Linked DNA regions of Anolis sagrei. The protein of the gene in region 2 interacts with the protein of the main gene of each other region in a pairwise test. Links are inferred from orthologs where the notes say so. Each region holds a gene or a part of one and is shown on either strand. Other genes may lie near its edges.

Region 1 (10,508 bases), on a different chromosome or scaffold from region 2:
TCCCCTCTCCCTCCATTCCCTTCCACCCTTTTGTCCTTCTTTCGCTTTCCTTCCTTCTATCACCATGTGGCCAGTCCTAGCAGGGAGTGCTACTAGCATGTTGGAAAGTTTGCCCACGCTCTGGGATGTCACCCCCTCTTACTTATTTACTTAGACAATCCCTTGTAGCTTGAGGATGATGGTCCTTCTGATGTGGCGTCTTGTTGGTGGGTCTGTAGGTGGCTGTGGAGCCCTTTTCTTGATCTGCATGTTCTCCTGCATGAGGACATTGGTTTCCCAATGGAAGGTGGTCCCGGTCAGGGTTGGCTTGATGCGCCTCCCTCTTAACATGTTTCTCCCTTTTGCTCTCCATTTGTGCCTCTTCGAATTCTGCAGCACTGCTGGTCACAGCTAACCTCCAGTTAGAGTGCTCAAGGGTTATGGCTTCCCAGTTCTCGGTGTCTATGCCACATTTTTTAAGGTTGGTTATAAGCCCATCTTTAAATCTCTTTTTCTGTCCACGAACATTATATTGGGTGATGGTCACTCGTTGGCCTGAGAGGTGTATTGTGTCCAAATTTGGCATCAATTCGTCCAGTGGTTTTTGAGTTATGTTAATCCCACAAACGAACATTACCTTTTTATTGATATAGAAGACTAGCTGTCCCCTGCCATGCGTTGCTGTGGCCCAGTCAGTGTATATGTGTTTTGTGTGTGTATATTTGTATTTGCATATATATGTGTGTGGTTTTGTGCATGTGTTGTAATGTATTTTTTTTGTTTTTTGGCTTTTTAAGTTTCTTCTGTTGTGTTTTTCAGTGTTTTTATGACTGATGGTCACTTGTTGGCCTGAAAGGTGTCTTGTGTCCAAATTTGGTGTCAATTTGTCCAGTGGTTTTTGAGTTCTGTTAATCCCACAAACGAACATTACATTTTTATTTATATAGAATATATATTCTATATAAATAAAAATGTAATGTTCGTTTGTGGGATTAACAGAACTCAAAAAACCATTTTTATTTATAAAGAATATATATCTCCAGCAAAGGATCACCGCCTTGTCGGGGCGCTGGAGCTTGAGCACCTCAATGATGTCATGAGCGAAACCGTGAAGGGCCACCCAAGACGGGACGGTTGTGGCAGAGAGGTCAGACCAAGCGTGATCCCTGGGGAAGGCAATGGCAAACCACTCCAGTATCCTTGCCAAGAAAACTAAATGGACCAGTACAACCAGAGATATGTCGGTATGCCATTGGAAGATGGGACTCCCAGGTCGGAAGATGGCCAAAATGCTACTGGGGAGGAGCAGAGGATAAGTTCAACTAGCCCCAGATGTGATGATGCAGCTAGCTCAAAGCCGAAAGGAAGGCTAGCGGCCGACGGTACTGGAGGTGAACGACGAATCCGATGCTCTAAAGATCAACACACCATAGGAACCTGGAATGTAAGATCTATGAGCCAGGGCAAATTGGATGTTGTTATTGGTGAGATGTCAAGACTAAAGATAGACATTCTGGGGGTCAGCGAACTGAAATGGACTGGAATGGGCCACTTCACATCAGATGACCACCAGATCTACTACTGCGGACAAGAGGAACATCGAAGAAATGGAGTAGCCTTCATAATTAATAAGAAATTCGCTAAAGCGGTGCTTGGATACAACCCAAAAAATGACAGAATGATCTCAATTCGAGTGCAAGGAAAGCCTTTCAACATCACAGTGATCCAAATATACGCCCCAACCACAGCTGCTGAAGAAGCAGAAGTAGATCAGTTCTATGAGGATCTGCAGGACCTACTGGATAATACACCAAAAAGAGACATTATTTTCATTACAGGAGACTGGAATGCCAAGGTGGGAAGTCAAATGACAACTGGGATCACAGGCAAGCATGGTCTGGGAGAACAAAATGAAGCGGGACGCAGGCTGATAGAATTCTGCCAGGAAAACTCGCTGTGTATAACAAACACTCTCTTCCAACAACCTAAAAGACGGCTTTATACATGGACCTCACCAGATGGTCAGCACCGAAATCAGATTGACTACATCCTTTGCAGCCAAAGGTGGCGGACATCCATCCAGTCGGTGAAAACAAGACCTGGGGCTGACTGTAGCTCAGATCACGAACTTCTTATTGCCCAATTTAGAATAAAACTAAAGAGATCAGGGAAAATACACAGACCAGTTAGATATGATCTCACTAACATTCCTAGCGAATATACAGTGGAAGTGAAGAACAGATTTGAAGGACTAGATTTAGTAAACAGAGTCCCAGAAGAACTATGGACAGAAGTCCGAGACATTGTTCAGGAGACGGCAACAAAGTACGTTCCAAAGAAAAAGAAAACCAAGAAGGCAAAATGGTTGTCTGCTGAGACACTGGAAGTAGCCCAAGAAAGGAGGAAAGCAAAAGGAAACAGTGAAAAGGGGAGATATGCCCAGTTAAATGCGCAATTCCAGAGGTTAGCCAGAAGAGATAAGGAACTATTTTTAAACAAGCAATGCATGGAAGTGGAAGAAGACAACAGAATAGGAAGGACAAGAGACCTCTTCCAGAAAATTAGAAACATTGGAGGTAAATTTCAGGCAAAAATTGGTATGATAAGAAACAAAGATGGCAGGGACCTAACAGAAGCTGAAGAGATCAAGAGAAGGTGGCGAGACTATACAGAAGATCTGTACAGGAAGGATAACAATATCGAGGATAGCTTTGACGGTGTGGTGAATGAATTAGAACCAGACATCCTGAGGAGTGAGGTTGAATGGGCCTTAAGAAGCATTGCTAACAACAAGGCAGCAGGAGATGATGGGATCCCAGCTGAACTGTTTAAAATCTTAAAAGATGATGCTGTCAAGGTGATGCATGCCATTTGCCAACAAATATGGAAAACACAAGAATGGCCATCAGACTGGAAAAAATCAACTTATATCCCCATACCAAAAAAGGGAAATGCGAAAGACTGCTCAAACTTCCGTACAGTGGCCCTTATTTCTCATGCCAGTAAGGTAATGCTCAAGATCCTGCAAGGAAGACTCCATCAATACATGGAGCGAGAGTTGCCAGATGTTCAAGCTGGGTTTAGAAAAGGCAGAGGAACGAGAGACCAGATTGCCAATATCCGCTGGATAATGGAGAATCTCGATAAAATAGTAAAGAGTAGAGACATCAGACTGGCAACAAAGATCCGCCTAGTCAAAGCCATGGTATTCCCTGTAGTCACCTACGGATGTGAGAGCTGGACCTTAGGGAAGGCTGAGCGAAGGAAGATCGATGCTTTTGAACTGTGGTGCTGGAGGAAAGTTCTGAGAGTGCCTTGGACTGCGAGAAGATCCAACCAGTCCATCCTCCAGGAAATAAAGCCCGACTGCTCACTGGAGGGAAAGATACTAGAGACAAAGTTGAAGTACTTTGGCCACATCATGAGACAGGAAAGCCTAGAGAAGACAATGATGCTGGGGAAAGTGGAAGGCAAAAGGAAGAGGGGCCGACCAAGGGCAAGATGGATGGATGGCATCCTTGAAGTGACTGGACTGACCTTGAGAGAGCTGGGGGTGGTAACGGCCGACAGGGAGCTCTGGCGTGGGCTGGTCCATGAGGTCACGAAGAGTCGGAGACGACTGAACGAATGAACAACAACAATGGAGAAAGGCAGGGAGTTTCAGAAAAACATCTACTTCTGCTTCATTGATTATTCTAAAGCCTTTGACTGTGTGGATCATAATAAATTGTGGCAAGTTCTTGGTGGGATGGGCATCCCAAGCCACCTTGTCTCTCTCCTGAGGAATCTGTACAAGAACCAAGAAGCAACAGTCAGAACTGACCACGGAACAACAGACTGGTTCAAGATTGGGAAAGGCGTACGGCAAGGCTGCATCCTCTCACCCAACCTTTTTAACATGTATGCAGAACACATCATGCGATGTGCGGGGCTGGATGAATGCAAAGCTGGGGTGAAAATTGCTGGAAGAAACATTAACAACCTCAGATATGCAGATGACACCACTCTGATGGCCGAAAGCGAGGAGGAGCTGAGGAGCCTTCTAATCAAGGTGAAAGAAGAAAGCGCAAAAGCCGGGTTGCAGCTAAACGTCAAAAAAACCAAGATTATGGCAACAAGAATGATTGACAACTGGAAAATAGAGGGAGAAACCGTGGAGGCCGTGACAGACTTTGTATTTCTAGGTGCAAAGATTACTGCAGATGCAGACTGTAGCCAGGAAATCAGAAGACGCTTACTTCTTGGGAGGAGAGCAATGTCCAGTCTCGATAAAATAGTGAAGAGTAGAGACATCAGACTGGCAACAAAGATCCGCCTAGTCAAAGCCATGGTATTCCCTGTAGTCACCTACGGATGTGAGAGCTGGACCTTAGGGAAGGCTGAGCGAAGGAAGATCGATGCTTTTGAGCTGTGGTGTTGGAGGAAAGTGCTGAGAGTGCCTTGGACTGCGAGAAGATCCAACCAGTCCATCCTCCAGGAAATAAAGCCCGACTGCTCACTGGAGGGAAAGATACTAGAGACAAAGTTGAAGTACTTCGGCCACATCATGAGGAGACAGGAAAGCCTAGAGAAGACAATTATGCTGGGGAAAGTGGAAGGCAAAAGGAAGAGGGGCCGACCAAGGGCAAGATGGATGGATGGCATCCTTGAAGTGACTGGACTGACCTTGAGGGAGCTGGGGGTGGTAACGGCCGACAGGGAGCTCTGGCGTAGGCTGGTCCATGAGGTCACGAAGAGTCGGAGACGACTGAACGAATGAACAACAAAGAATATATATATACTAGCCACTCTTTGCTGTGGCCCAGTCTGTGTATATGTTTGTGTGTATATATATGCGTATATGTGTGTCTATATATTTGTGTGTGTGTATATTTACATCACTTATATCCCGCCCATATCAGCCCGCAGGCGACTCAGGGCGGTCTACATATCAGCACAATTTGATGCCATCAATACAATACAAAAGCAAAAACAATTAAGTGCATTTAGACAAGAAAGACAGTGCAATAACAATTTAAAAAGAGCTATATCCTCTCATTCCAATCCTCATCCGTTTCATCGTCTTGGCCGTTCCTGGGTCATTCTCCATCTCAAGCTTGACTATTCCGGGGTTCTGAATGCCTGCCAGGTTTTCACTCTCTTACGAAAGGTCAGGAGGGAGGGGGCTGATCTAATATCCCTAGGCAGGGAGTTCCACAGCCGAGGGGCTGTGTGTTTGTGTATATATGTGCTTTTGCGCAGGCACTGTAATGTATTTTTTTGGCTTTGTAAGTCTCATCCACTTTGTCTTATTTTAGTGTTTTTATGGATAATGGTCACTCGTTGGCATGAGAGGCAGGGCTGTATCCAGAAAAAAATTTCGGGAGGGGTTGAAATTTTCGGGGGGGGGGTTGAAAATTTTACAGGGTGTGTGTGTGTTGAAACCTGCCTCCTAGCTCACGCTGAAGCAAAGAGCACAGCAGGGGGCAGAGCAGCCTTCAGTAGCCTGCAGCTCCGCCCCTGTCAACCACCTCCACCAAGTCTGGCCTCCTTAATGAGAATATTCAACACACACACACCCAACTTGGTTGCTTCACTACATCGGCTATTGCTGCAAGTAATGACAGTGTGAATAAATTGTCAATATTTGCTTGAGATAGTGCTTGCAGTTCTGGAGGGACTCTTTAATTTTTTGCATCTCATAGATTTAGCATGGGGATTTGGTTAACCAGTTAAAATTCATGAGTAAACCAGGGTTTTTTTTAAAAAAAATCTGAAACATTTCGGGGGGGGGTTGAACCCCTAACCCCCCCACCCCCCCCCCCCCCACCCCCCGCTACAGGCCTACTGAGAGGTGCCTTGTGTCCAAATTTGGTGCCAATTCGTCCAGTGGTTTTTGAGTTCTGTTAATCCCACAAACTAACATTACATTTTTATTTATATAGAAAAGATAGATAGGTAGATTAGCAACACCCTCTCTGAGGGGGTCCCCCGGTGCAGCTCCCACTCCCACGTGGGCCTCTCCAGGCGACACCTAACACAGGTTGTCCTCTCCTCCAGCAACAGGTTGGCTCTCTCTGGCTTGGGAGGGGCCTACCCCTTTAAGAGCGACTTGCGCTCAGGTAAGTGGGCGGGGCCTCCCGCTTTGACCCCGCCCACCCTGCGTATGTCATGATGGATTAGCGGCGGCGGCGGGGAGCTCAGCGCCCGAGGATCAGACCCAGACGGGGAAGGAGGGGGAGGAGGAAGAGGAGGAGGAGGAGGAAGAGGAAGAGAAGAGAGCAAGTGGGGAGGGGGCGTCTCTCCCCTCCGCCGCGGCCAGGCAGAGCGAGTTCCCCTCCCAGCCAAGGCAAAGAGGGCGAAAGCGGAGGAGGAAGCCGTCCTTCCGTCGGGGCCGGGAGGCCACTTCCTGGAGGGGAGTTTCGCCCGGGTCCACCTGCAGAAAAACAGGAGGAGGAGGAGGAGGAGGAGGAGGCACACACCTGTCCAAAATGAAGGACCGGCTGGAGCAGCTGAAGGCGGTGAGCAAGCCCCCTGCATCCACTTCCCTCTTTCCCTTCTTTCCTTCCTTCTAAACTGGGGAATTAATGCACTTTGACACCGCTTTAACTGCCCTAACTCTACTCTGGGACCCTAAGAGTCTTTCTCCTTCTCTGCCAAAGAGTGTGGGCGCCTCACCAAACTATAACTCCCAGGATTCCTCATAGCATTGGGGTGTCAAGCTGTATTAATCCCAACCATAGGGACTGTAAAGGGAAAGGGCCCACTTTGGAATAGTGTGGCTATTGGTGGGAATCCAAAGACTGGGTCCTTAAGGTAAAAGTCACCCCTAAATTTGGAAAATAATAATATAGAATATGGGGCGGGGGGTTGGAATAGGCTTCCACAGCTCTGTAGTTTCCAAACCTGCCAATAGTGGCTGGCAAAGTGAGGGTGGGACTGTTTAGTAGTGCTCTAATGCAGGTATGGGCCAATTTGGGTCCTGCAGGTGTTTTGGACTCCAACTCCCACCATTCCTAACAGCCTCAGGCCCTTTCCTTTTCCCCCTCCGCCGCTTAAGTTGGAGTCCAAAAGTAGTTGGGGTCCAAAACACCTGCAGGACCCAAGTTGGCCCACACCTGCCATAATGGATCTGAGAATATGTCCATTAGGGAACCACATGCACACCTTGCAATGTGGCACTGTGACCAAAATAATAAAACCATTTGAAGATGGCTAGGAGGGAGTCTCTGTTTCCCGCCACTTTTCCCCCCACCAAGATCAGTAGAGTTGGCAACTTCCTCTTTTTGGCTTCCCGCCTCCTGTCACTTTTATTTTTTTTTCCTTCCTTGGTGCACTCAGATATGTGCCTGCGGACATTATCTATATAAGATGTCACAAGAGCATTATAGGCCCAACCAGGGCTGAAGTGCTGGTTTCATATCCTCTCTCACATAACATTTATGGCTCAGTTGACTTGGAGCTGCCCCTCCCCTTGTTCTTCAATCCTCAGTTCAGAACATAATGTTCAGTCTCTCAGCTTGTGGTCACTTCTGAAGGTGCAGCTACACTGTAGAATTAATGCAGCTTCACACCACTTTTAACTGACATGATTCAGTGCTAAGGAATCATGGGAGTTGGAGCTTTGCATGCTTTTACTCTTGGGCCCTTCCACACAGTCCTATATCCCAGAATGTGAAGGCATGAAATCCCACAATATCTGAGTGTGGACTCAGGGCCCTTTCATACAGCCCTATATCCCAGAATATCAAGGCAGGAAATCCCACATTATCTGAGTGTCAGCTCGGGGCCCTTCCATACACCCCTATATCCCAGAATACCAAGGCAGGAAATTTATTTATTTACTACTAGCCGTCCCCTGCCACACGTTGCTGTGGCCCAGTCTGTGTATATGTGTTTTGTGTGTGTGCATGTGTGTGGGTGCATATTTTTGTGTATATATGTGTGTGTGCGGTTTTGTGAATTCATTGTAATGTTTTTTGTTTGTTTTTTGCTTTTAAGTCTCTTCTGGTGTGTTTTTCAGTGTTTTTATGAGTGATGGTCACTTGTTGGCCTGATACATGTATTCTGTCCAAATTTGGTGTCAATTCGTCCAGTGATTTTTGAATTATGCTAATCCCACAAATGAATATTACATTTTTTTATTTATACCTAGCTGTCCCCTGCTACGTGTTACTGTGGCCCTGTATGTGTGTTTTGTGTGTATATGTGTGTGTGTGTATATATTTGTGTATATATGTGGTTTTGCACATGCGTTGTAAAGTAATTTTGTTTTTTGGTTTTTTAAGTCTCTTCTGTGTTTTTCGGTGTTTTTATAAGTGATGGTCACTCGTTGGACTGATAGGTGTATTCTGTCCGAATTTGGTGTCAATTCATCCAGTGGTTTTTGAACTATGTTAATCCCACAAATGAACATTACATTTTTATTTATATAGATATTTGTATACCGACCTTCATAGCCCTTAGGCGACTCACTTCTGAAGATGTAGCTACACTGTGAAATTAATGCAGCTTCACACCACTTTTAGATGACACAATTCAATGCTAAGGAATCATTGAGTGAATATCTGAGTGTAGGCTCGGGGCCCTTCCACACAGCCCTATATCCCAGAATATCAAGACAGAAAATCTCGCAATACCTGCTTTGAACTGGGTTATCTGAGTCCAGACTCAGATAATGTGGGATTTTCTGCCTTATATTCTGGGGTATAGGGCTGTGTGGAAGGGCCCTCGGATGACCCAGGGCCCTTCCGCACTGTCATATAACCCAGAATATCAAGCCAAGAAATCCCACAATATCTGCTTTGAACTGGGTAATCTGAGTCCACACTGCCATATATTCCAGTTCAAAGCAGACAATGTGGCATTTTATTCAGCTGTGTGGAGGTTGTTCCAGTTCAAAGCAGATATTGTGGGATTTTCTGCCTTGATATTCTGGGATATAGGGCTGTGTGGAAGGGCCCCTTCTCTGTCAAAGTTCCTATCTAAAGTAGAACGACCAGAATTCCATAGTATTGAGCCTTGGCAGTTAAAGTGGTGTCAAACTGCATTAATTCTACAGTGTAGATGTACCTTGAAATCAACTCTTTAGTGCTTCTTGGGCCCCTTCCACAAAGCTAAATAAAATCCCACATCTGCTTTGAACAGCGATTTATGGCATTGTGGACTCAGGGCCCTTTCACACAACCCTATATCCCAGAATGTCAAGGCAGAAAATCCCACATTATCTGAGTGTGGACTAAGATAAACCAGTTCAAAGCAGATATTGTGGGATTTTCTTCCTTGATATTCTGGGGGCCCTTCCACACAGCCCTATATCCCAGAATATCTTCTTTGTACTAGGTTATCTGAGTCCACACTGCCATATATTCCAGTTCAAAGCAGAAATTGTGGGCTTTTATTCAGCTGTGTGGAAGAGTCCTCAGATAACCCAGTTCAAAGCTGATATTGTGGGATTTTCTGCCTTGATAGTCTGGGTTATATGGCTGTGTGGAAGGGCCCTTAGTTTTCAGCTGAAATCCGTCATTTTTAAAAGGAGGAAAAACACAAGTGTCTGGCCTGTAAGACAAGTTTGCTTATGCGTCTCCTGAAGTACATCTTTATTGAGTGCATCATCATGGTGTGACGTGATATGCAGATGGCATAAACACAGCTTCTCACAGTTTTTATTGCCAGAGAGTGTTAGTAGTTCAGCATGTGCCAGACTTGGCAAAGGCCTAGGCATGCTACTTCTTTCATATTTGCTGACTTCAAGGTGATGACCTGTTTCACACTCCTACGTCTAGCTCTTTTCTTTTTCTCAGTGTAAATAACTTGTGTTACTTTATTTATACCCCTCTCTTCTCACCTTGAAGGGGATTCAGTGCGGCTTTACAAACTACGGCAAAAATTCAGTGCCTCATTTTGCACATAACAAAAACATAGCACATTAAATTATAAAACAATTAAAACATATAAACAGTTAAAACCTATAAAACACAGTAAAATAGTTAAAAAACATAAAAAGTTCTGAGTCATTATTTCCAAACATCCAGTTTTCCATGGTCATTATCTGGACTGCAAGGTTAAAGTCAAATTCCACGTTACCCTATTCTTTGAATGCTTGAGCACAAAGCCAGGTCTTTAGCTTTTTACCTGAAGACCAGGAAGAATGGGGCCAATCTAATTATTTATTTATTTATTTATTTATTTTATTTACTTTGCTTATATACCGCTGTTCTCAGCCCGAGGGCGACTCACAGCGGTGTACAACATAGAAACAGGTTCAAATTCAAGACACAATCTAAAATAATCAATCTAGCATTAACCAAAAACATCGTCATCAAAAACATCATCAATAATACAAAAGCCATTCCACGTCGTCTCATCGTCTAAACCACAATCCAGTATCATTTTCCGTTGTTCCATTCCTGTCGTCATTACCAATTATTGCACTTCTTGTTCGAACGCCTTCTTGAACAGCCAGGTCTTTAATTTCCTGCGGAATATTAACAGGGACGGAGCCTGTCTGATGTCCACGGGAAGGGTGTTCCACAGCCGAGGAGCCACCA
Region 2 (10,372 bases):
GAGAACACAGAAATGCTGGACCTCTCTCACAACTACCATATCAGACTACACAGGGAAGCCATTGAAATCCACAATCATGTGGACAATTTCAACAGAAAGGAAAAAACCATTAAAATAAACAAAATCTGGCAACCAGTATTTTAAAAAACTCTAAAATCAAGAAAGTAAATAAAGATGTACACTCAGAAAATGGAGGAAATCCAGACAGCAAACAATCAGGGCCAACTAACACCTCTGAACAAAGAATTCCCCCAGGCAGGAAGCAGCCAGACTTTGAAACTGCAAAGCCATTCAATGCTAATCAAGCTGGTCAAGGGCAATACCAGTTATGTAAACCCTACTTGCCTAATTTCCAACACAACCTCTGAGGATGCCTGTCATAGATGTGGGCAAAACATCGGGAGAGAATGCTTCTGGAACATGGTCAGACAGCCTGGAAAACTCACAGCAACCCAGTGATTCTGGCTATGAATGCCTTCAAAAACATATTATTAAAACATGTTGTTGTTGTTGTTGTTACATAATCTGTGCAGAATTTTTCTGAAACACTAAAGCTTTTTTATTTATGTGTAGAGGCACACAACAGATACATGGGAGCATTCTTTGCAGAATGGCTGCCAAGCCCCATAAGGCTTATACAGTAAGGCCCTATTAAAAAGAGCCGCTACATAGAGGCCTGTAAAGTAAGCCCCTCTTTAAAATGGCCTCTTTCCCTGGGTAATAATTGTATTGTGGTTTTGTGTTTTTTGTTGGGTTTTTGTTTTGTTTTGCTTCCAGGGAGAAAAAAGAAAAGGTATAGCATAAGAAGCAAGCATTCAACTGGGAAGAAGCCATCACTGGTGCCGGAGAACCTCAAGCAGCCGTCACAGAACACAAAAATCACGGTGATTTGGAGGCGCTACTCTGCTTTTGGTAGACGGGAATCTATGAAGAGCACCAAGAGCCAGTTGGAAGAGGAGGAGGAGGAAGCTGGCCCCAGCCAGAAACCCAAGGAAGAAGAACCCAAAGCAGAACCCTCCAGCCCTTGAGCCATGGGAAACCTGGACACAGAAACACAGAGCAGGTTACGGCAAGTGGGTCCCACAATATGGACAGTCTTACAGATAAGGGGAATAAACTTTTAACTATCACGCATGCCCTCCGTGATCTGGAATAGTAAATGCCTTGCTTTTGCAAGAGTGATGGCTTTTTATTCCCACTCCCCAGACAATTCCAGGTCAGTTTCATTTGGTGAGTATTGTTGATGTGGACATGCTGCTGGGACAAGTAAGGAGGACAACCTGCTTTCTTGATCCCTGTCCCTCTTGGCTGGTTGTCCAGGGAGGAGCTGTAATTTGATCTCAAATATAACAAGTTTTTAATGCATCTCTCAGGGAGAGGGATTTTCCATCCTGTTTAAAAGAAGTCTTCCCTGGATCCCCTTTGGTTCAGTCGCTTCCGACTTTTCATGGCCTCATGGACCTGCCCACGCCAGAGCTCCCTTTCGGCCATGGCCACCTGCAGCTCCTTCACAGTCAAGCCAGTCCCTTCAAGGATACTGTCCATCCATCTTGCCCTTGGTCGCCCCTCTTCCTTTTTTCCTTCCCCTTTCCCAAGCATCATTGTCTTCTCCAAGCTTTCCTGTCCTCTCGTTATGTGGATAAAGTACTAACCTTTGTCTCTAATATCCTTCCCTCCAGTGAGCAGCCAGGCATTATTTCCTGGAGGATGGACTGGTTTGATCTATCAGTGCAATTTGCTGGCCAACTTACTTATTATTTTCTGGTTTCTGAGAAAAACACACTGACTGCTTCTCTGGTGATTCTGATTCTTGTGCTTTCCAGCAGCTTCAGAAATCACAGCAGACGTTTGATGTTTCCCTCTCTGGCAGATCATTAATCGTTCAGGAATTCAACAGCGGAAGCTTGCTGTTGGGTTCTATAACCCTTTTCAGTGCAATTTGCTGGCCAACTTGCTTCTTATCGTCCAATTAACTGACTTCAGACAGTTGTTTCTGCTTAAGTAAGCTTAAGCCTGGAACCCCAGGTTTCAGCGGTGACCAGGGGAGCATTTGTACAATTAAAACTTGTGTGCCAGTTGCGCCCATACCTTGGGAAGTCAGACTTGGCTACAGTGGTCCATGCTCTTTTTACATCCCACTTAGATTACTGCAATGCACTCTATGTGGGGTTGCCTTTAAAGACGCCCTGGAAGCTTCAGCTAGTCCAACGGGCAGGGGTCAGACTTCTAACGGGAGCGGTGTACAGGGAACATACAACTCCTCAGCAGTCAGCTCCACTGGCTGCTGATATGCTACAGAGCCCAATTTAAAGTGCTGGTCTTGGCCTATAAAGCCCTAAACGGTTCTGGTTCAACTTATCTGTCCAAATGCTTCTCCTCTTATGAGCGTATTAGAATTTTAAGATCTTCTGCTCTCGGTCCCACCTTCTTTGCAATCACGACTGGTGGGGACGAGAGACAGGCCTTCTCCATGGTGGCCCCTCGGCTGTGTAACTCTCTCCCCAGCAACATCAGACATGTCCCATCCCTTCTGGGTTTTAGGAAAAAGCTGAAGAGTTGGCTGTGCGCACAACCATTCAAAGAATACGTTTCTATGGTTTTGACATGATCTGGATTAAGGATTATGAGCAGGGTTATGGAACTATGCACTTTATGTGCTTTTTAAATTTGTAAATTGATACATTTTATTGTTGCTTACTGTTTAATGTTTATTGATATATTTTATTATTGCTAACTGTTTAATTTTTATTGTTAGTACTGTTTTTTACCGACAGTGAATTTTGCTGGAATTGTAAGCTGCCTGGAGTCCCTTCGGATGAGAAAGGCGGGGTAGAAATAAAGCAAATAAATGAATGAATGAATGAATAGTGGCTCTTTATTTACATTTCATTAATTGCAGTAACACTTACTCGTTAGCACAGTCAGATGCAAGGGAGAAGAGCAGAGAAATAATAAAATGGTGTCTGCTCTATTTATACACTGCTATCAGCTCATTAATTCAGTGTCCAGCCTCCTAGTCTATTATGAAGCTTGTCTGTCCCACACATGCTTCATAACTTAACTCTCACAGCTAGCAGCATGGACATTTTAAACTTGTACAATATATAGACATTACACTGATACGATCTTCTCGCGGTCCAAGGCACTCTCAGAATTTTTCTCGAACACCACAGCTCAAAAAGCATCTCTCTTCCTTTGCTCAGCCTTCCTTACAGTCCAGCTCTTGCATCCATAGCTTACTATGGGGAATATCATTGCTTTAACTAGGCAGATCTTTGTTGCCCGTGTGATGTCTCAACTCTTCACTATTTCATCGAGATTGGTCCTTGCTCTCCTCCCAAGAAGGAAACGTCTTCTGATTTCCTGTCTGCAGTCCACATCTGCAGTCATCTTCATATCTACACATACAAAGTCTGTCACTGCCTCTATGTTTTCTCCCTCTATTTGCCAGTTATCCATCAGTCCGGTTGCCATCATCTTGGTTTTTTTTATGTTTAACTGCAACCCAGCATTTGCACTTTCTTCTTTCACCTTGGTTATAAGGCTCCTCAGCTGCTTCTTGCTTTCAGCCATCAAAGTGGTATCATCTGCATATCTAAGGTTATCAATGTTTCTTCCAGCCATTTTAACTCCAGCCTGGGTTCGTCAAGTCCCACACGTCGCATGATGTGTTCTGCATACAAGTTGAATAGGGAGGGTGAGAGTAGACAGCCCTGCCGTACGCCTTTCCCAATCTTGAACCAATCTGTTGTTCTGTGTTCTGTTCTTACTGTTGCTACTTGGTCCTTATACAGATTCCTCAGGAGAGAGACAAGGTGACTTGGTATGCCCAGACCACCAAGAACTTGCCACAATTTATTATGATCCACACAGTTAAAGACTTTAGAATCATCAGTAAAACAGAAATAGATGTTTATCTCAAACTCCCTGCCTTCCTCCATTATCCAGTGGATATTGGCAATTTGGTCTCTCGTACATAGAATCATAGAATCAAAGAGTTGGAAGAGACCTCATGGGCCATCCAGTCCAACCCCCTGCCAAGAAGCAGGAATATTGCATTCAAATCACCCCTGACAAATGGCCATCCAGCCTCTGCTTAAAAGCTTCCAAAGAAGGAGCCTCCACCACACTCCGGGGCAGAGAGTTCCACTGCTGAACGGCTCTCCCAGTCAGGAAGTTCTTCCTAATGTTCAGATGGAATCTCCTCTCTTGTAGTTTGAAGCCATTGTTCCGCGTCCTAGTCTCCAAGGAAGCAGAAAACAAACTTGCTCCCTCCTCTCTGTGGCTTCCTTTCACATATTTATACATGGCTATCATATCTCCTCTCAGCCTTCTCTTCTTCAGGCTAAACATGCCCAGTTCCCTAAGCCGCTCCTCATAGGGCTTGTTCTCCAGACCCTTGATCATTTTAGTCGCCCTCCTCTGGACACATTCCAGCTTGTCAATATCTCTCTTGAATTGTGGTGCCCAGAATTGGACACAATATTCCAGATGTGGTCTAACCAAAGCAGAATAGAGGGGTAGCATTACTTCCTTAGATCTAGACACTATGCTCCTATTGATGCAGGCCAAAATCCCATTGGCGTTTTTTGCCGCCACATCACATTGTTGGGTCATGTTTAACTTGTTGTCCACGAGGACTCCAAGATCTTTTTCACACGTACTGCTCTCGAGCCAGGCGTCCCCCATTCTGTATCTTTGCATTTCATTTTTTTTGCCAAAGTGGAGTATCTTGCATTTGTCACTGTTGAACTTCAACAGTTTTGAACTTAGTTTTGGCCCATCTCTCTAATCTGTCAAGATCGTTTTGAATTCTGCTCCTGTCCTCTGGACTATTGGTTATCCCTCCCAATTTGGTGTCGTCTGCAAACTTGATGATCATGCCTTCTAGCCCTTCATCTAAGTCATTAATAAAGATGTTGAACAGGACCGGGCCCAGGACGGAACCCTGCGGCACTCCACTTGTCACTTCTTTCCAGATGAAGAGGAAGCATTAGTGAGCACTCTCTGTGTTCGTCCACTTAACCAATTACAGATCCACCTCACCGTAGTTTTGCCTAGCCCACATTGGACTAGTTTCCTTGCCAGAAGGTCATGAGGGACCTTGTCGAAGGCCGTACTGAAATCCAGGTACGCTACATCCACGGCATTCCCCGCATCTACCCAGCTTGTAGCTCTATCGAAGAAAGAGATCAGATTGACTAATGGCAAGATCAGATTACATCTGGCAACTCCCTCTCCATGTATTGCTGGAGTCTACCTTGCAGAATCTTGAGCATTACCTTACTGGCATGTGAAATAAACGCCACTGTACAAAAGTTTGAGCATCTTATAGCGTTTCCCTTTTTTGGTATGGGGATATAAGTTGATTTTTCCAATCTGATGGCCATTCTTGTGTTTTCCATATTTGCTGGCATATGGCATGAATCACCTTGGACCTTGATAACTACAGACTAGTGTCCAACGTTTCTTTTTTGGGCAAGGTGATTGAGAAGGCAGTTGCCTTCCAACTCCAGGCGGTCTTGGATGCTACACACTTCCTCGACTCATTTCAAACCAGCTTCAGAGCAGGATACAGAGTTGAGACTGCTATTGTTGTACTGGATCTCCATCTCAACACCAACGGGAGTGTGTCCCTGTTGGTGCTTCTAGACTGCTCAGCGGCCTTCAGTACCGTGGTATTGGGGAAACCTTTCTGGAATGCCTATGGGGAAGGCTGGGAATTGGAGACATTGGTTCTGGATTCTGGATGGTGGCACTTGGGAATAGCTGCTCCTTGAAAAGGGAGCTGTTACGTGGTGTCCCACAAGGTGCCATTCTATCCTCATAGCAGCCACTGGGAGGGATCTGTAGGTATGGATGCAGTGTTACAGGTATGCTGATTACACCCAAATATTTCTTCATGCCTTCTAAATCAGCTTCAGCTAAGGATAGCATGTTTCCTTTGAAAGAATGCCTGGATGGATCTGGACCAAACTCGGCACGATTACTCAATATGCCCAGATGCGAACACTGGTGGAGTTTGGGGAAAGTAGCATCTTGACATTTGGGAGTTGTAGTTGCTGGGATTTATAGTTCACCTACAATCACAGAGCATTCTGAATTCTACCAACAATAGAATTGGGCCAAACCTCCCACACAGAACCCTCATGATCACCAGACTGGGCCACAGCAACGCCTGGCAGGAGACGGCTAGTGGATAATAAAATGGTGATGATGGGGTCTCTGTAGATTTTTAATCTGAAGCTGTCAGGGGGGCTCTGGCGGTGTCTTCCTGCCTGGCGCACTGAGGCCTTCCGCCTGAGTTTGAGGCTCGATTCCAGAAACCCTTGGCAACCGGAAATCTCTTCCCAAGCGAGGCTTGTTTACATCCCCCCGCAGGATCCTTCCCTTCCGCTTCCTCCTTGTTGCCAGGCAACTTCCTCCCGTTTTTTGGGTCTAATGAGGCGAGTGGCGTGACGTATGCAGTGGGGCGGGGACTCTCGACGTCGTGCGTGTGACGCGGCAGCCTGAGGGAGTACGTGGCAGTGACGTCCGCTTGTTTGGCCTTTCGGTTCCGGGGGAAGGCGGCCGGTGTCGGAGGCTCGGGAGTCCGGCGGCGTCTCGGTGGGATTTGGGCCTGTGGGGCCGGTGAGTCGCGGGCGGGAGGGAGGGAGAGCGGGGAGGCGCTTCTCGGCGAGGCCTCTCCTTGCGAGGTAGGCCTCTCTCTCTGGAGGCCGCTTTCCCCTACGGATGGTGCCCCACAGATGGGTTCCTAGAGTGGGAAGGGGCCCCCAAAGCCACCTAGCCCGAGCCCCTTCTGCCAGGCAAGAAGGCACCTTCAAAGCCTCCTGACAGATGGCCCTCCAATCCAGCCTCTGTTCCAAAAAATCCAGAAAAGGGGGAGCTGAACGTGTGGGGCCAAAAATCACAGAACCCTAGAATCTGAAGGCAGCCCAGAGGCCATGAAAGCCAACCCTCTTCTCCCCATTCAATCCCTCCTGACACAGAACCACATGGTGTCACAGAATCCTAGAATTGGACGGGATCCCAACCTGCTTCTGCCAGGCATCACCATCCAAGCCCTCCCAACAGACTGTTTAAAAATTCCAAAGGAAAGAAGGGGACAGAGAAAGAGTTAAACATGTACTGACATTGTGCTTAAAATTGTAGAATATTGGGAGTTGTATTTATTTATTTATTTATTTACTTTATTTGTATACCACTCTTCTCAGCCCTTGGGCGACTCAGAGCGGTTTACAACAGTTTAGGTATACAGGATACAAAATCTTTATGCATTTAAAATACAGAAGCATCACAAGTCATTAACATCATTAACATAGGCATCAAAACATCAATACATCAATATAACAAATCCATCTGGTCTAGTCGGTGAAATCAGAATCCAAAACCCATTGTCCGTTATTCCATGTTCCAATAATCAGTTAATCAATCACACTGCTTAGTCAAATGCCTGTTCAAACATCCAGGTCTTTACTTTCCAACAAGGAATGCCAGCAAGGAAGGGGCCAATCTAATACCTGCAGGAAGGGCGTTCCACAGCCGAGTGGGCCACCACGGAGAAGGCCCTGTCTCTCGTCCCCGCCAGGCGTGCTTGTGAGGCCGGCGGGATCGAGAGCAGGGCCTCCCCAGACGATCTTAATGTCCTAACTGGTTCATAGGAGGAGATGCGTTCGGACAGGTAGGTCGGGCCAGAACCGTTTAGGGCTTTAAAGGCTAAAGCCAGCACTTTGAATTGTGCCCGGTAGCAAATTGGCAGCCAGTGGAGCTTGCGCAACAGAGGAGTGGTATGCTCCTGTTAGCAACCTGGCTGCTGATCGTTGGACCATTTGAAGCTTCCGAGCAGTCTTCAGAAGCAACCCCACGTAGAGAGCGTTGTAAGGGAATCCAGGGGCTATCTAATCCCACCCTTTTCTGCCAGGCTTCTCTGGCAGAAGGGTTATCTGTCAGGAGGGATTTAATGGTGTCTACACTATCAGATGCTTCCTAATAGATAACCATTCAACCTCATAGGCCTAGAGGTTGAAGGGACCTCAAGGGCCATCCAGGCAGGGGTGTCCAGTCAAAGCCCTCCAACAGATGACCAAAATTTATTTATTTATTTATTATTTGAACATATGCCGCCACTCCCCTGGGGCTCGGAGCGGCTTACAAGAATAGCTAAAATCTAACAAAATTTAAAAGCAATTTAAAAACAATTTAAAAACAACAATATCAAACATTAAAAGCCTGTCGAAACAGGTATGTCTTACATGCCCTGCGGAAAGCTGGTAAGTCCCGCAAGGCACGGACTTCAGGTGGCAGAGTATTCCAGAGTGATGGGGCCACTGCTGTGAAGGCTCTGCGTCTGGTTGCTGTTAGACGCAAGGTCTTGACACTGGGAATTTCCAATAGATCTTGGTCCTCAGAACGGAGGGATCTCTGGGGTTGGTAGGGGGTGAGGCGGTCCCTCAGATACATCGGCCCCAGACCATGCAAGGCCTTAAAGGTGAGTACCATCACTTTGAAAGTGATCCGGTGCTCAATTGGTAACCAATGCAGCTGCAGTAAGATTGGTGTTATGTGACATCTCATCGGAATTCCCGCAAGAAGCCGAGCAGCTGCATTTTGTACCAACTTGAGTTTCCGGATCACCGACAGAGGAAGACCAATGTAGAGGGTGTTACAGTAGTCCAGTCTTGAGATGACAGTGGCCTGGATCACCATAGCTAGGTCGTCCCTGGACAGGGAGGGGGCCAGCCGTCTAGCCTGCCGCAGGTGAAAGAAGGCGGTTCTGCTAACAGCAGAGACCTGGGCCTCCATCGTCAGCAGACGGTCCAAAAGGACTCCCAGTCTCTTGACCAATGATGACGGGTGTTGCGCCTCGCCATCCAGGGGCTTTTATATCTTGTCCTTTCTCAACCTCTGCAGAGGGACTCAGGATGGTTAACAAAGTGGCACCCCATGGTGCCCACATCAAAACATAAATATACAATTAACAGTAATGTAATAATAACAATATAAAACCGTATAAACAATATAAAAACAATATGAAAAGAGACAACAAATACTCAGCAGTCACTGATTTAAATCATTATCCAAGGGCAGTCCATCGGTTCTAAATCAGTCAACACATCAGTAGGTCAGCGTATTCTCCAAAGGCCCATAGCCAGGATTTTACTTGTTTCCGGAAGATCAAGAGGGATGCAACAGATCTAATTTCATTTGGGAGGGAGTTCCACAGCCAGGGGGGCACCACAGAAAACGCCCTGTCCCTTGTCCCCGCCAGACGCGATTGTGACAATGGGGGGACAATGAGCAGGGTCTCCCCAGATGATCTTAGGGCCCGAGGTGGATCATAGTGGGAGATACGTTCGGACAGGTAAACTGGGCCATCCAGCATTTGCTTAAAAACCTCCGGTAAAGGTGATTCTAAGGCAGCACATTGCACTGTGAAATGGCTCTTACCACCAGGAAGTTCTTCCTAATGGACATGGATTTTTCCTCTGCAGTTTCAACCCATTGCTCCATTGTGTCCTGTCTACTTGCCCTCTCCTCAGTAGACCTCTTTTTCAAATATTCAGACATGACAATCATGTCCAAGCTGAAGAGCCTCCACCTTGTCGATATCTTACTTGAATTGTAGTGCCCAGAACTGGAGACAGAGTTATTTCTCCTACCGTTTGTTGGGTAAATGAGTATAGAAAATTGCTGTATGGTGATTGTAGCAGAATAGTGGTGATAATATTTAGGTTCTGCTTCAACCAGGACAACGTTGCTGTGTTTATGTATTGCATTTATATCCCACCTTTCCCCATTGCACCTATTTCTCTATTTTATCTTCACAATACTCTTGTAAGGTAGGCCAGAGTGAGGATTTTATTTTTTAAGACAATGGAAACGTTTATGAGAAAGTGTTGTTGATCAACAACTCACATCCAAACAATGGTGTTACATCACTGGGAGGGTCTCATATATATTTCTTGTCAGTCATTTAGATCTTAAGAATGGAGTTTTCCATTTCAGCCGTTGAGCATTGATGGCTCTCTTCTATATCCTTTTAGCATCAGGTTATGAGCCTCCATGTATACGAGGAGACGCCACGGCTCTAGAAACACCGAGCAAGGCGTTTACCTGGGACCTTCCCAGACCCAAGTCCTGCCACCACCACTTGCTGCAACTGTCAATACTGCCACCGCATCTCCGGCCGCACCGTCCCCACCCCAGTGGGACACCATGTCCTGTCAAGACCGCACCCAGGAGTTCCTCTCAGCCTGCAAGTCTTTGCAAAGCAGACAGGTGAGTTGCCCCTTCCTGAAGTCTGTGCAGGATGAAGCTGGCTCATTTCAGGCTCGATTTAGCAGCAATTTAGCAGTAAGCCTTTGGTCCTGAG

The links. The genes of interacting proteins can lie anywhere in the genome.
Region 1: the proteins of STX5 (region 2) and STX3 interact in binary tests that used the Homo sapiens proteins (3 or more experiments, as listed by UniProt). The link is inferred for Anolis sagrei from reciprocal best matches to the Homo sapiens genes STX5 and STX3.

What each region holds. Positions count from the first base shown.
Region 1 is NC_090021.1:234,866,843-234,877,350, forward strand, and holds the start of STX3 (syntaxin-3), read left to right. Parts: upstream 1-6,118; 5' UTR 6,119-6,449; coding exon 6,450-6,479; intron 6,480-10,508. UniProt on the Homo sapiens protein: Potentially involved in docking of synaptic vesicles at presynaptic active zones. Apical receptor involved in membrane fusion of apical vesicles.
Region 2 is NC_090032.1:12,411,316-12,421,687, reverse strand, and holds the start of STX5 (syntaxin-5), read left to right. Parts: upstream 1-6,496; 5' UTR 6,497-6,630; intron 6,631-10,043; 5' UTR 10,044-10,062; coding exon 10,063-10,278; intron 10,279-10,372. Other genes in the region: TEX54 (testis-expressed protein 54), read left to right, coding at 778-1,028. UniProt on the Homo sapiens protein: Mediates endoplasmic reticulum to Golgi transport.